Linked DNA regions of Oryzias latipes. The protein of the gene in region 1 interacts with the protein of each later gene in a biochemical or structural test. Links are inferred from orthologs where the notes say so. Each region holds a gene or a part of one and is shown in the gene's direction. Other genes may lie near its edges. The genes, in order: cgas and rnf185.

Evidence for each region.
Region 2: of the proteins of cgas (region 1) and rnf185, one has a biochemical effect on the other in vitro, tested with the Homo sapiens proteins (2 studies listed by BioGRID). The link is inferred for Oryzias latipes from reciprocal best matches to the Homo sapiens genes CGAS and RNF185.

What each region holds. Positions count from the first base shown.
Region 1 is NC_019873.2:11,009,074-11,014,886, forward strand, and holds the end of cgas (cyclic GMP-AMP synthase), read left to right. Parts: intron 1-3,133; coding exon 3,134-3,473; 3' UTR 3,474-3,621; downstream 3,622-5,813. Other genes in the region: probable ATP-dependent RNA helicase DDX43, read right to left, coding at 5,228-5,395, 5,526-5,613. UniProt on the Homo sapiens protein: Nucleotidyltransferase that catalyzes the formation of cyclic GMP-AMP (2',3'-cGAMP) from ATP and GTP and plays a key role in innate immunity.
Region 2 is NC_019870.2:13,774,981-13,782,478, forward strand, and holds the start of rnf185 (E3 ubiquitin-protein ligase RNF185), read left to right. Parts: upstream 1-3,630; 5' UTR 3,631-3,704; exon of another isoform or gene 3,705-3,977; 5' UTR 3,978-4,046; coding exon 4,047-4,222; intron 4,223-6,436; coding exon 6,437-6,455; intron 6,456-6,537; coding exon 6,538-6,650; intron 6,651-6,739; coding exon 6,740-6,794; intron 6,795-7,012; coding exon 7,013-7,130; intron 7,131-7,207; coding exon 7,208-7,305; 3' UTR 7,306-7,498. Other genes in the region: chemokine-like receptor 1, read left to right, coding at 924-1,940. UniProt on the Homo sapiens protein: E3 ubiquitin-protein ligase that regulates selective mitochondrial autophagy by mediating 'Lys-63'-linked polyubiquitination of BNIP1.

The sequences.
Region 1 (5,813 bases):
TGAAGAGCCACTGAGTGTTAGTGGAAACTGGATCCCTGTTGGTGGAAGAAGCAGATGTGAAAGGCGTGTCTATAGGCAGAAACAGAAACCGAAAGACAAGAATGTCAGACTCAATAGAAACTTTGACTGCAAGAACTTCGACAGAGAAAACTGGAGCTCATGAATAAAAGATGAACGGTGTATGTTCTGTGTGTTCAAGAGACCAGATAAAGAAGGAGCACAAATTATGCATAGAGGTTCAGGCTATTTTATCGTGGAGTGGATGGAAGGAAAAATGCAGTACTTTTGATGGGGAGTTTGGCAAGAATTGCTTAACAAATAATAATGACAATGGTGAACTCTTTTTTTTTTTTTACTGAAAAGAGAGGAACACCTGTTAAGAATGGAGGAAGAGGCTCAAACACTGATTGTAGCTTGTGCAGATGTTGAAATCTGAAAGAGATCAGCAAAAGTTGTGGTTTGGAAGAGTGTAGCTGATAGTAATAAGACTGTGGTGTCAGGATGACCTGTAGTGAGGAAGATGACAAAGACAGAGCAGAGGACCAAGCGGTGATAGTGGAAAAAGCAAGAGTGCTGAGGGATTTTTGGAGAGGAACTGAAACAAACTTCAGGAGATCAGGAGGTTCTCCCAGATGACTGGGAAGAAAATACTTAGCTTTTTTCATTCACCAAGGACATGACACACCAAGGACGTTTGGGAGTGTTAAGAGAAAAAGGTTTGCGAACAAAAAGGGTGACACCAAGAAGACAACAGTTAGGAGTACAGTGAAATGCAGCACAAGGTTGAGGTGGCAAATACTAACCAAAGGGTGGATGAGGACTTGAAGATGTGGTTCTGTACTGGTCTAGCCAGTTAAACAGAAATGGAAGGATTTAAAGCTGTTAAAGGTCATCAAAAACAGGCATGGAAATGTGTTAACCAGTTCCACAAGTGAGATGGAAAGATGGAAGGATAACTTCGAAGAACAAATGAATCAGGAAACTGTGGAACAAGAAGTAGCAAAGATCAGTAAGGCTGACATGAGGAAAACAATCCAGATGATGAAAATCTTTGGAAAGGCAGTTGGGTCTGACAAAATACCTGTGGAGGTATGGAGGAAACAGTTTGGGAGAGGTGGCAGTAGAGTTTCTGACCTGATTGTTTAACAAGACTTTGGAGAATCAGAGGATGCCTGAGGAAAGAAGGAGAAGCATCCTGCTGCCAATTTTGAAGAAGTGAGAAGTGCAGAACTGTGAAAAATACAGAGGAATAAAGCTGATGAATCCCAATGAAGTTATAGGAAAGAGTAGTGGCAGCTAGACTGAGGCCAGACTTATCGTTGCATGGCAAGGAGAGAACCACAGATGCAATATTTGCTTTGAGGATGAAGCTGGAGAAGAACAGAAAAGGTAAGAAAAAGCTGCATTGTGTCTTTGTAGATCCAGTGAAAGTCTATGACAGAAACAGAGAGAAGCTGAGCTTTGAATGAGGAAGTCTGGAGTGACAGAAAACAACGTCGGAGTTGTGCAAGACATGAAAGCTGACAGCGGTAGTAGTTAGATGTGCTGTAGATGTGACAGAGGAGTTCAACGTGGAATTTCAAGTTGGTGGAAACTCCCAACAGTGCTGAACCACACCCACTCACTGCAGTAAAGCAACCGGTCAAAGGAAGGTGACTGCATTTCCAAGGGCTGGTGGTGGGAGAAGCAGCAGTCTTCAATGCAGGCGGAGACGACTAAATTCAGAACAATGCAGGCAGAATGCACCGCTGGCAGGGCGGATTAAGGCAGGGTGCGACACAACCCTGTGGGGAATAGGCGGAAGATCAGAGCAGCACACTTTCAACTAGGGTTGGGCGATGTCCCTTAATTTGGCAGTAATAATTAATTAGTAATTTTTCATTATTATATAATTACTATTCATAATTTTACTTTATTTTATTTCCTAACTAATGACTCATCCGTGAGGAAGAAATAATGTGAAGTATAAACTGAGGGAAGTGACTTTAACAAAAAAAATAAACAAAATAGAAAAGAAGTAGTCCACTCCTGCACTTGATTAGTCAAGTGGACCGGTGGCCCGAGCGACCGTGTGAACGTTTGTTCTAATCGGAAAACATTTTTCTGGGCACATGCTCATGGTTGAATTCTAATCAGACCATTGATCCGTTCAAGATATTTTGCACATGTACCCGTGGCTTATGGTGTCGACTCGCAGCGTGGCGGGGGCGTGGCATCACAAACGTGTCTCTCCAGATGCCAGTCAGCCTTCACGATGGACGATGATATCGTGTGTCTAAATAAATGTGGCGATCACTCTCAGCTGGTCTGTGGCTGAGAGTGAAGTCAGAGTAAAAATAATTTGTTTGTGAGTGACTTTTTGATTCTGAAGAACTTACTGGTGAAGTTTGGCACGGTAGGCCAGGTACCATGCAGCACCAACCAATCAACACGCAGGATATTGGCAGCACCTGCTCTGCAGGTGAACTCAATTTATCCTGTCACAAAAGAAATGTGCAGAAGACTGTGGTAAAAGCAATCATGTTGTTGGTTTTGAGACTTTGAGGAAAGAAAGGAGGCAGAGCTGGAAGTAGCAGAGATTAAGATGTTGAGTGGCATGGTTGGATAGGATCAGGAATTAATCCATCAGAGAAAGAGATTATGGTAGATGTTTTGGATACAGATGCAGGGAAGCAGATTGTGATGGTCTGTACTAGGGGGACATCAGTTGATCTCTGGTTTGGTGACATTGGGAGGAGGAACAGTGATGATGTTGGGGTTGCATGCTGAGGTTGGAGATAGCAGGAAACAGGTCTATAGGAAGGACAAAGGAGAAGATCATGGATATAGGAGAGGATATGAGGAGGCTTGGTTTGAATGACGACACAGAGAGGATTAGATGGAGGCTCTTCCAAGATGATAAAACAAAAATAGAACCATAAAGTTCTTTTCAAAGCTAAACATTCAAACATGTCTAGATGCATTTTACATGTAAAATTTTTGTATTTTCATGTATTTTACAATATTTATTTGGTGGTTATGAAATGTCAATAGGAATCACAAAATGCCAACTACTCCTAAGAAATCAAATCCCTGTGCTCACAATACTCTGACAGTCCTCACTGAAAGCTTCTTTCGTCATGTGTTCACTCAGGAAAGACTGTCTGAAGCTCCTGAAACATCTTTTGCATCTCCTGAAAGAGCACGACCCTTCCCTGAAGGATGTCTGTTCCTATCACGCCAAGACAACGCTACTGCACGCCTGCTGCGCCCGCAACAAAGACGACGACTGGAAAGCCTCAGAGCTCCTTGGCTGCTTTAAGCAACTCCTGCTGGACTTTCAAGGCCACCTGGAAGCTGGGAAGCTCCAGAACTTCTTTGTTCCCGGCCAAAACCTGCTTTCCGGCATAACAAAGAAAACTTTAAATGACCTTGCCAAGCAGATAGAGGAGCAACTATTGAACGGGTTTCCAATTTTTGCCGCAGGGCTTTAAATGAAGTCAATCAAGTTTTGTTTTCAGCACTACATTTAGTGTTCAAAGTTCATGTAAACATTTAAACATGTAAAAGGATAAAATGAAATAAAACTTTTGTGTAAAAGCTTTTCATTGCTGTACATTAAAATTCAAAGTCCCACTCTGATCATGTTTTGTTCCCAGTGGTCATTTAATTATGATATTTTTTAGCCAAAATCAACAAACCTGTCTCATTCTCTAGAACACTTTGATCTTTAACAGTTTGATTTCAATATTTGTGATTTTAAAAATGACAAACTTTTCTACTTAAAATCTAGTTTTTGGACAGTTTTGGGATAATGTGCAGTTATTCTGTAATTAAAATACTTGTTAAAAAGCTGGGGTTGTTCTAAAAGATGGACATCAATCATTGCCACATTAAACAGCTTTAAAAATAAATAATAAATAGAGCAAAGTGTGAAGTAGAATAAAAAGCTAATAGACTTGGCGTCAAAGTCCGACTTCAATCATCTTTTGATCTATTTTAAAGACATTTCCAGTGGTCTTTTAAATATAATTATAGCCAATATAAAAAAAACTGTCATTTTCCAAGACATAGTTTCTGTAGAGCAGCATGAGTTCATTAAAAATTCACCTCTGACTTGTGGCCAGGACTATTTGTGTAGAGCAACCCGCAACCAACTTAGCATTAGCGGTGCAACCAATATCGGAGCCATCCAGTCGTCCATTTTTGAGCCAAATGCAAGCTCAGAAAAGGAAAACAACTTATCTATTTTTCTGCAAGCAAATGCATCAGAAGGGAGCGGAGCATTTTCTGTCACAAATGAGCTCTTCTTCAAACTGAATTTTTGCGTCTGCTCCTGATTCACCAAATTTGAATCGAGAAATACCCAGAAAAACAATTATAGGTCTAAAATTTCTTTAAAAATGTCTTCTGTCATTGGACCAATGCTACAAGAACATGTAAAAAAAAACACCAGAAACGTAAAGTGGGTCTTTAATGGAACTTGAAAAGGCTCCTTATCCGATTCATCAATACAAACCACTTGATCTGCAGTTGAAACTTAACATGTGATGAGTTATGATCACATTTAGGGTCATGTTACCAAAGTAGTTAATTGTGCTTAACTGGAGCACTGTGACTATGTGTAGAGACTTAGCTTACATATGAACTCAGCAGCCAGAAAACTACATTTCATATTTGAGCTTCCTTTGCTTTCAAACACTTGGCAGGGAACCTCTAGGTGGATTTACTAACAGAAAACAACAAAATGGCTAAAAGTAGCAAAACTAAAGATACTTTTAATACTACTACATTACAAGGATGATTGAAAACTGTCGTACCTTGTTGTTTTTCCAGAAGTTGCTGCAAACTCCTATTTTGGTTTTTGTAGCCTAACACGCACAGGCCTCCTGCAAAGAGAAATCCTGACAGAGTGAAAGACGTTTCCTCCTGCCAGCACCATGCTGCTGAGTGCCAATGCTTTAATGAGACGAGAAAATCAGAGAAAAACCATTTATTTAGAAGAATGCATGCTGCTGAAACAGCAAATCCTTAATCAAAAAACAACCTCTCTTAGAACAAAATAATGAATTGACAAAAACTAAACAAAAGAACAGCAAAAACAAACTTTTTTTATAAAACATGAGACGACTGGAAGTTTCTGATCACTTGAGCCTGTGAAGAAGATAAGAAAATGAAAATTCAATTGTATTGTATTATTGAATAGAGGAGAGCTAAAGGTTTCTTTATGACATACAAATGTAGAGCATTAGAACTTCCAGCTCTGAGCTTGGTCTCTTCTGCTTCCCCTTCCACCATCTCTTCTTCCTCCATCTCTTCTTCCTCCATAACCTCCTCCTCCTGAACCGTACATCAGCTTCTCTCTCTTGTGTTTCTCATATCTTTCCGCCATGAGCACCAGCTCATGAGGCACTTCCTGCAAACAAGCCCCACCCCCTTGGAGTTTTTACAAACTAATAAATTAACAAGAAAAACTGATTAAGCTGTCAAATGAGCTTGATTGAAATGAAAGCCACTGGCTTGTTCTCATTTGTGTGTTTTCTGACTTGTCCTGATCGCTCCAAGATGGGAATCAGCTCTGGCGCCATCCTCCAGTCTTCCCTCGTTACCAAGGTAACAGCAGCACCGGATCGCCTGGAATATACGCGCATTAGCGTCACGAGACAGCGAATGCAACGCCATGAGAAACAGGAGCTCGTTTGAAAGAATACCAGAAAACTTTCAGCTATAGTGGAGCTTCAGTACATTTACCTTAGTCAAACCAAAGTGCAGGTGAAATATGGGCAAACCAGTATGGGGAACCCAAATATGGTCAGTGAACCCGTAAAGTAAAA
Region 2 (7,498 bases), on another chromosome or scaffold:
GTGTTTAATTTGTTTTTTCAAAAACTTCTAAGGCTTTTATTTTGGTAACAAACTATTATGTCAAACTAACAGTTTTAATTGTTTTGAAGGTATATTTTTTTTTACAAATAATGAACTCAAGAAAAGTAAAACAAGTTATTGAAATGATAAATCTTTATATGATTTTAAATTTAAGTAAAAACAACATTTCAGCAAAACATTTCCCTTTTTTTTTGTTTCCAAAACATGGGTTTTAGGGAAGTGTGGATCAGGAGAACTGCATACTTTGTGTTTCTGTCACTGAAGGGAATGTTACTCAATACAGTTCATAACCTTTGTTACATCAAATATTCATATATTTTTATGGTTTTCTTTTATTTATTGAATAAATTCTGGTCATTTTGAACTAACTCTTTTCCCTCCAAAGGTTAGCAAATGCTAAGACAAACATCTGACAAATACATAAATAATTCACATTTTTTTCAGTTGGCGTCATGTGATATGTCAAAACTCAAAGGTAGACTACAATTTTTCACCATTTTGTTAGTGTTACCAACAAAAACCAAGAAAAAGGAACAAATCTTTTCTTAAATATATAAAACATACATTGTCATTATTTAGTACAGGACTTTTATTATTATTATCATTATTATATTTTTGTGCTTTTTTTCTCATTACCTTCACTGTTGTTCAAAACTGCAGCAAGACAGGATCTTACATGGGCAGCCCTGAAATTTTTGTGGTAATTTTTAACCGGAACACTGATCAGGAAGCAGAAGGGAGAAGTTGAGTATCGGAGCAAGACGCAAAAACCCCGAGTTCACATTGGCTTCAACATCAAAAGAATCTTGTGAGTATTTCTATGTCTTTCTGTCTTTGCTTCTTATATTTACGGTTTATGGGAAAAAAATGTTTTGCTAATTCGTTTTTCAGGGGAAGCAACCATGGATCTGGACTATCCTAATTATGAAGATTATGTGCCTCAAAACGAAACGGAGGAGACCTCAAAATCAACAAAAATCTTCCATTTTGCTGATCCTCAGATTGGTCTAACTCAATTTCTTGTGGCCTTTAACATCCTGATATCCACTCTTGGGATTGCCGGAAACTCGTTAGTGGTTTGGGTTTGCGGATGTAAAATGAAAAGATCAGTTTTAACCACCTGGTACACCTCCCTTGCGATTTCAAATCTTTTATTCTGTGTCTTTTTGCCCTTTGATGTTTTCTACACCATAACCTCAAACTGGCCTTTTGGGGTTGTCTTGTGCAAACTCACTTCATCTGCTCTGTTTCTCAACATGTACAGCAGTGTGTTTGTGTTGGTTCTGATCAGTGCTGATCGATGTGTCCTGGTGTTGTTCCCTGTGTGGGCGCACAACCACCGGACAGTTCGGAAAGCCTCTGGAGTGGTCATCCTGGTGTGGCTCCTGTCTGCACTCTTGACCTTGCCCACGATCGTCTTCCGACAAGTCACAGTCCACGGTTCGGTCACTCAGTGCTACACAGATTATGTGAACCATTCCAGACACACAGCAGTGGCCCTGAGTCGATTCGTCTTTGGCTTTCTGATTCCTTTTCCAGTAATTATCCTCTGCTGCGTGGTGCTTAGTCTTAAGATGAAAGGTTTGACTGTCAGGTCAAGGAAACCTTATAAAATTATGGTGGCACTCATCTTGTCGTTTTTCTGCTGCTGGATGCCTTATCATACCTTCGTCCTCTTGGAGCTGGACTTTAAGAATTATAACTTAGAAATACTTAAAACTGGACTGAAAGTAGGAGCCACCTTGGCTTCGGCTAACAGCTTTGTTTCTCCCATTCTCTACGTTTTTATTGGTAACGACTTCAAGCAAACCCTGAAGAAATCTTTGACATCTAAGATTGAGGAAGCCATGGGCGAGGATCTACGAACTGTTGCCCTTAATAATTCAAGATCCAAGTCCCTGGACATCATCAAATGTTAATTTGATGCACTCATCAATACTAATGTGACAACATCAATAAGGGACATAATAATAATATGTTTGAGTTGAGTCTTTGCTGTTATTCCGATTCTACTGGACTAAACATTACATTTGATCACTGTACTTGACTGCTGCTATTAGATCTTGAATGTTCTGCCTATATAAACAAAAAAGGCTACAAACAAATCAATACATTTTGGTAATTTTTACATTTGTTTTGGGTTGATTACCAAATTGAAATATAACTAAAGATGAATAAAAACGTTTTTTTTCCCTTGATGAAAACAGTCAAATTGAGACATAAAGAAAAAACTGTGATAAATTGTGTTTTTATTTTTTAAATATATACAAAAAAATGTTTAAAGTGTACAAAAAAGCTGCTTTATGACTTTGAAAAAATAAATGTAAAAAAAATGTGAATACAAATTTGAATGTAAAGTTTTGTTCAGGTGAAATTAATTGTTTTAGAGCAATACAGATTGATAAAAACTACATTTAAAAACTTTTTCTGTTTCATTCTTGAGTTACACATTACACTACACAAATTTGTCTTTTTTGATTAACAGTTAAAATTGAAACCATGTTTTTTTGCTGTATATTCTAGTAAAAAAACTATCACTGTTGTCATTTTTTCTATATTTCCAGGGGCGCAAAAAGTAGGTATGCAGCACATGATTGGTATGGGGGCGCCGGCCAAAGGGGGCGCCAAACCGATGTTATTACAATTATTTATAGTCCGTATTTTTTAATTTCCCACCTGTTTGTGCACTTATATTTACATGATATGGTCAGTAACAGAAGCACATCGTAACTGATTGGGTGCCCCCACGGCAGTTTTCATAATAAATAAATAAAATCATGCATTAGCAAGACGTTCAATTTATTTTAAACATGAAATAATTGTTGGTTGGCCATATGATTTAGTGGAGAAGAACACAGACAAGAGGTGAAGGAGACAGACGTGAGGTTGGTGATGCATCTGATATACAAGAGAGCAGAAATGACTTCAGGTAGGAATAATTAAACTATTGAAGTCACAAAAACCTAGATGCTCATTCTGGTTTAAGCTTCTGCTGACCACCTGTTCACTTATTTTAGGAAAACAAGTGCAGACATACATGACAAGTCAGTCCCAACAGAGAAGAATAAGGAGAGAGGTTCAGATGATGATGATGATAGAGAGAAAGAGAGACGATCAGCTGATGATGAAGAGGGAGAAGAACAGAGAGGTGCAGAGGAGAGAGCCGGGGCCAGGCTTTACTCAGAAGATCCTTCTGAATGAGCTTCACCACACAAATTTGGGGAATCATTGAGGCAATACACGGTTGTAAATAGCTCACTAAAATATTCTGATACTCCAAGATCAGATAAGAAGTAATGAGATGTACACAGTTAAACAATAAAGGTGTTGTTTAGATAGCTTTAGGAGGGGTGGATGAGATGTTTTTTTAATGTGCATTTATGTCTGTGTGCGTGGGGGGGGGGGGGGGGGGTAATGAGGCCGCATGTGAAATTAGGTAGTTGCGCCCCTGTTTATTTCTTCAAGGTTTTTATTACGTTTATGATTTTTTTTTAAATGTATGCACGCTAAAAACTTCTCGGTTATTTAAAGAAAAGTTTTAAACTTTTTTCTATAAAGTTCGTTTTAAAGAAATTATTAAGGGTTGTTGGCTATTTCGTGAATATTCTGCCCCGCCTTCTTTCTTTTGACCAGGAACTAACTTGTCGCGTGCTTGTGAAGCAGCGGATATGACGTCACATCATGTAAGAATATTTTTCCTAACTCAGAACTTCAACTTATGGTTTGCCGCTGTGATTCAATTTGGACGTAGATATCAGACTGGTTTATAATTTAAACTGTTTTTCTGTAGTACTTTTTATTGTTTGTTTATTTTCGTAGTAAAGTATACGTCAGTGGGTAAAAACCCGTCTTTACGGCTTTGTTTGCTAGCATTAGCCTGGAATTAAACGGACCGAGCGACCAACTGCGAAAATTCATTGAAACTCCGTGACTCATTGTCTTCGTTTGCTATCCAGTGGGGCCTTCATATGTGCGAGTTTTGAGGCAAGTTCGTTAGTGTTGGCTGTGAGGATCCAGATTTGATTATGGCCGCGGCTGCCCCCTCAGCCCCAGCCTCTGGCTCCACGGCTGAAAGCACAACTTCGGGATCGAGCAGCTCGGCCGCAGCGGAGGGAGGCAGCCAGGACAGCACCTTCGAGTGTAACATCTGCCTGGACACCGCGAAAGATGCTGTGATCAGTCTTTGCGGACACCTCTTCTGGTAAGTTACCAGCTATTCTTTACTATGTTTACATGGTTGAAATTCCTCCTAGTATTTGTTTGAGACTGTAGTTCTGCATGTGTAACAAGTAAAATACATGAATGTAAACATCAGTAAAGCAAACACACCAAAAAAAATTCCCCATATAGCTATACAACTGTGTTCTGTTGCCTTTTGGTCTCAAAAGTATAATTAAATTGTAAGGGTTAGGATCGTTAATGTTATCAACAGTCCTTGGGAACCCCCACTTCTTTTGGGTGCCCTCCTCCTGGGCAGGGGTGCCTGGCCCCGCTTTGCCCTCTCCTGGACCTCCCATGGGCTGGGTGGGTGGCTGCCTGGAGCATGGGGTGGGTCTCCCTTGGGTGGGGGGATGCTCAGAAACGAACTCCTGGGTGGTGGGCTGCTCATCTGGGGCTTGGGTGCTCTCCTATTGGGGGGCTATTCTTCTGGTCGGGCTGGGCCTTGCACTCTCTTTTCCCCTTTGCCTCCCTGCTGTCTGGCATTGGGGGGGGGCTGTGGCGATCCTGCTGGCCCTGGCCTGGGTGGCAGATGTGATTGCCCGGCCGGCAGTTTTTCTTTATCTGCTATATCATGCGGGAGTTGGGGGTCCTGACTACCACTGCTGCTTCAGCCGGGGTCTTGGGGTGGGGATGACTGGGCACTCTCTCTCTTTTTTTTTTTACATTCCCTCATCCACCTCAGAAGGACATAAACCTCTCTCTTCTTCCCTCTTCTTCTTTTCTGTCCGGTCCAACAAAAAACGGTTTCAAATATATTTAATATAAATAAAGTTAAGTCTAAATTACCGAAGTGGTATATTAAAATATTCATCTTGTGTGTTAGAAGATTCATAACCCCCTGTTGTACCGTAATGTCTGACACAAGAGGCCTTCAGCTCTCATCTGTTTGCTCAGCTGTTGAACAGGAAAAGTAAAAAAAAAAGGATAGTTAAAACCATATTTTTTTCAAGATAAAAATAATAATTTTTTGCATATTTTGCCAGAGAATCTAATCACATGAGAAATTCTCCAAAAACTGCAGGATGATAAATAAAAGGAACTTGAACATATTGTTTTCCTATTGAGTTATGCGTGCTGATAAGATTGTATTTAAAAGAATGTCAATGTTTTTAAGTACAAGGGAGCCAATTAAACTGTGAATAGAGCTTCGTAGAATAGTTTATGAAGCTTATCTGTGGTTAACTCAGATTTTTGACCTGAAGTTGTTTTGTAACATAAAGAAATCAATAGGTTTGGTCATACGACTGAAGAATTTAGCTAAACGTCATGTTACTACTTGCAGCTAACAAACTGATATTTCAGAAGCATCTCTGAAAGTTGTAGTTCTGGAGTTAGATAACTGGTACATCGCCTGTCCGTCCTGGGGAGGATCCCTCCTTCATGTGGACACCCCTGAGAGTTCTTCTTTTTTTACGGAGTCCGTTTGTTTTAGGAGTTTTTCCTTACCATGAAGGAGGGGTCTGAGGGCAGAGATGCCCTGTTTAGTTTAATCTGTTTAGTTGATTCAGTTTAAAATTTTCCTATTGAATTCAATATATTTTTGATCCTTTTATTTTATGTTTACTTTACAATTACTGGTACGAAGCCCATTGAGATAACTGTTGTTGGGATTTTGGGCTGTACAAATAAAATGTAATTGAATTGAAAGCAACAGGAAGCCTCATTGTAAATCTGCGTACAATACCGAAGTGTAGAGACTCACCAGAAATAGACTTCCAAGTTTAAATCAGGTCCTGGGTGTCTTAAGCTGCATAGAAACTTCTAAAATTCCACTATTTTTTCTCAAATTAATGTTTTTGTGTTTTCTGTAAATAAATTCCATATGTTATTTATCTCAGCGACTTCAGTCTTGTGTCGTGCAGCATTTGGGTAGTGTATAAAAAAGGCAGATCCAATGGAACAATAAAGCTTTAGAAAAAAATATGTGTTATTCTGTTTAATGTTTTTTTGTAAAGGGCCAATTCAGTACCAGGTTGTCTTAAAGTTTAGAGAAAGATCAAAGTCTAAAAGTTACATTTTGAATTTTTATAATTTGAATAATAGCACAATTACATTTCCGTGTGTCCTTTATAAACATTTGGCAAATTACATAAGGGAATTTTAAGTGTAATGCTCTGTACAGATCTTCTTTAATCAGGCTTGTATTATTATTTTAATGAATGAAATGTGATCTCTATTCTTTTAACTTCTATAGTTGGCCGTGTTTGCATCAGGTAAGCAGCTTTGTCTTCTTCTCTTAACACTAAGCTCAAGTGGTTTTATTGGCTTTCTAACAACCCTCCTGTCTTCACGCAGTGGTTAGAAACTCGACCCAATAGACAAGTGTGTCCAGTTTGTAAAGCTGGCATCAGCCGGGACAAAGTCATCCCCTTATATGGGAGGGGGAGCACGGGTCAGCAGGATCCCAGGTGGCTATTTAACCTCGAATTTTAGAAATCATGTGAGCAAATTATCAATTTATTAGCACAAAAAAAAGACATGGGACTCTGTTTTGCAGAGAAAGAACCCCCCCTCGACCTCAAGGACAACGGCCTGAGCCAGAGAACCGCGGTGTAAGTATGAGCAGGAATATGTCTGTGTTATTGCATCAAAATAACAAATAAGTTTGTGTAGATTCTTGCCTCATCCATTAACTAAACCACGGAGTCTCATTACACACTAGCAGCTGAGATGCAGCTCTTCCCGTGAGAGTGAGCAGGGATTTTACAACCTGTTGCATCAACGTTAGCTTCCCGTCAGACCCCCTCAGCTGTCACGGCGCTCCTTTCAGGGTTTTCAGGGGTTCGGCTTCGGCGATGGAGGTTTCCAGATGTCGTTCGGAATCGGCGCCTTCCCGTTTGGTATTTTCGCCACGGCCTTCAACATCAACGATGGTCGGCCTCCCCCAGGTAGCTCTCCTGAATGATCTCTGTGTTGTAGCATGAGTCTAAAAAAAACTAACCTGTGGGGTTCTTACTTGACACAGCAGCTCCTGGGACGCCTCAACACACAGACGAACAGTTTCTATCCCGACTCTTCCTATTTGTCGCCCTGGTCATCATGTTCTGGCTGCTGATTGCATGAAGAGGTCGCACAAAGATAAACTGTGACGGATTTGCCTTTTTAGATCTTTTTAGCATTTCTACCTTAGACAAAAAATGAAAATGTAATCATCAGATTTTCAAAAATTACAAAACTCATGAGTATTTAACATCAACCACCAGTCATTGGAAATTCTTCAAAAAACATGCATGCTTGCACTTTCTGCACATGCAAG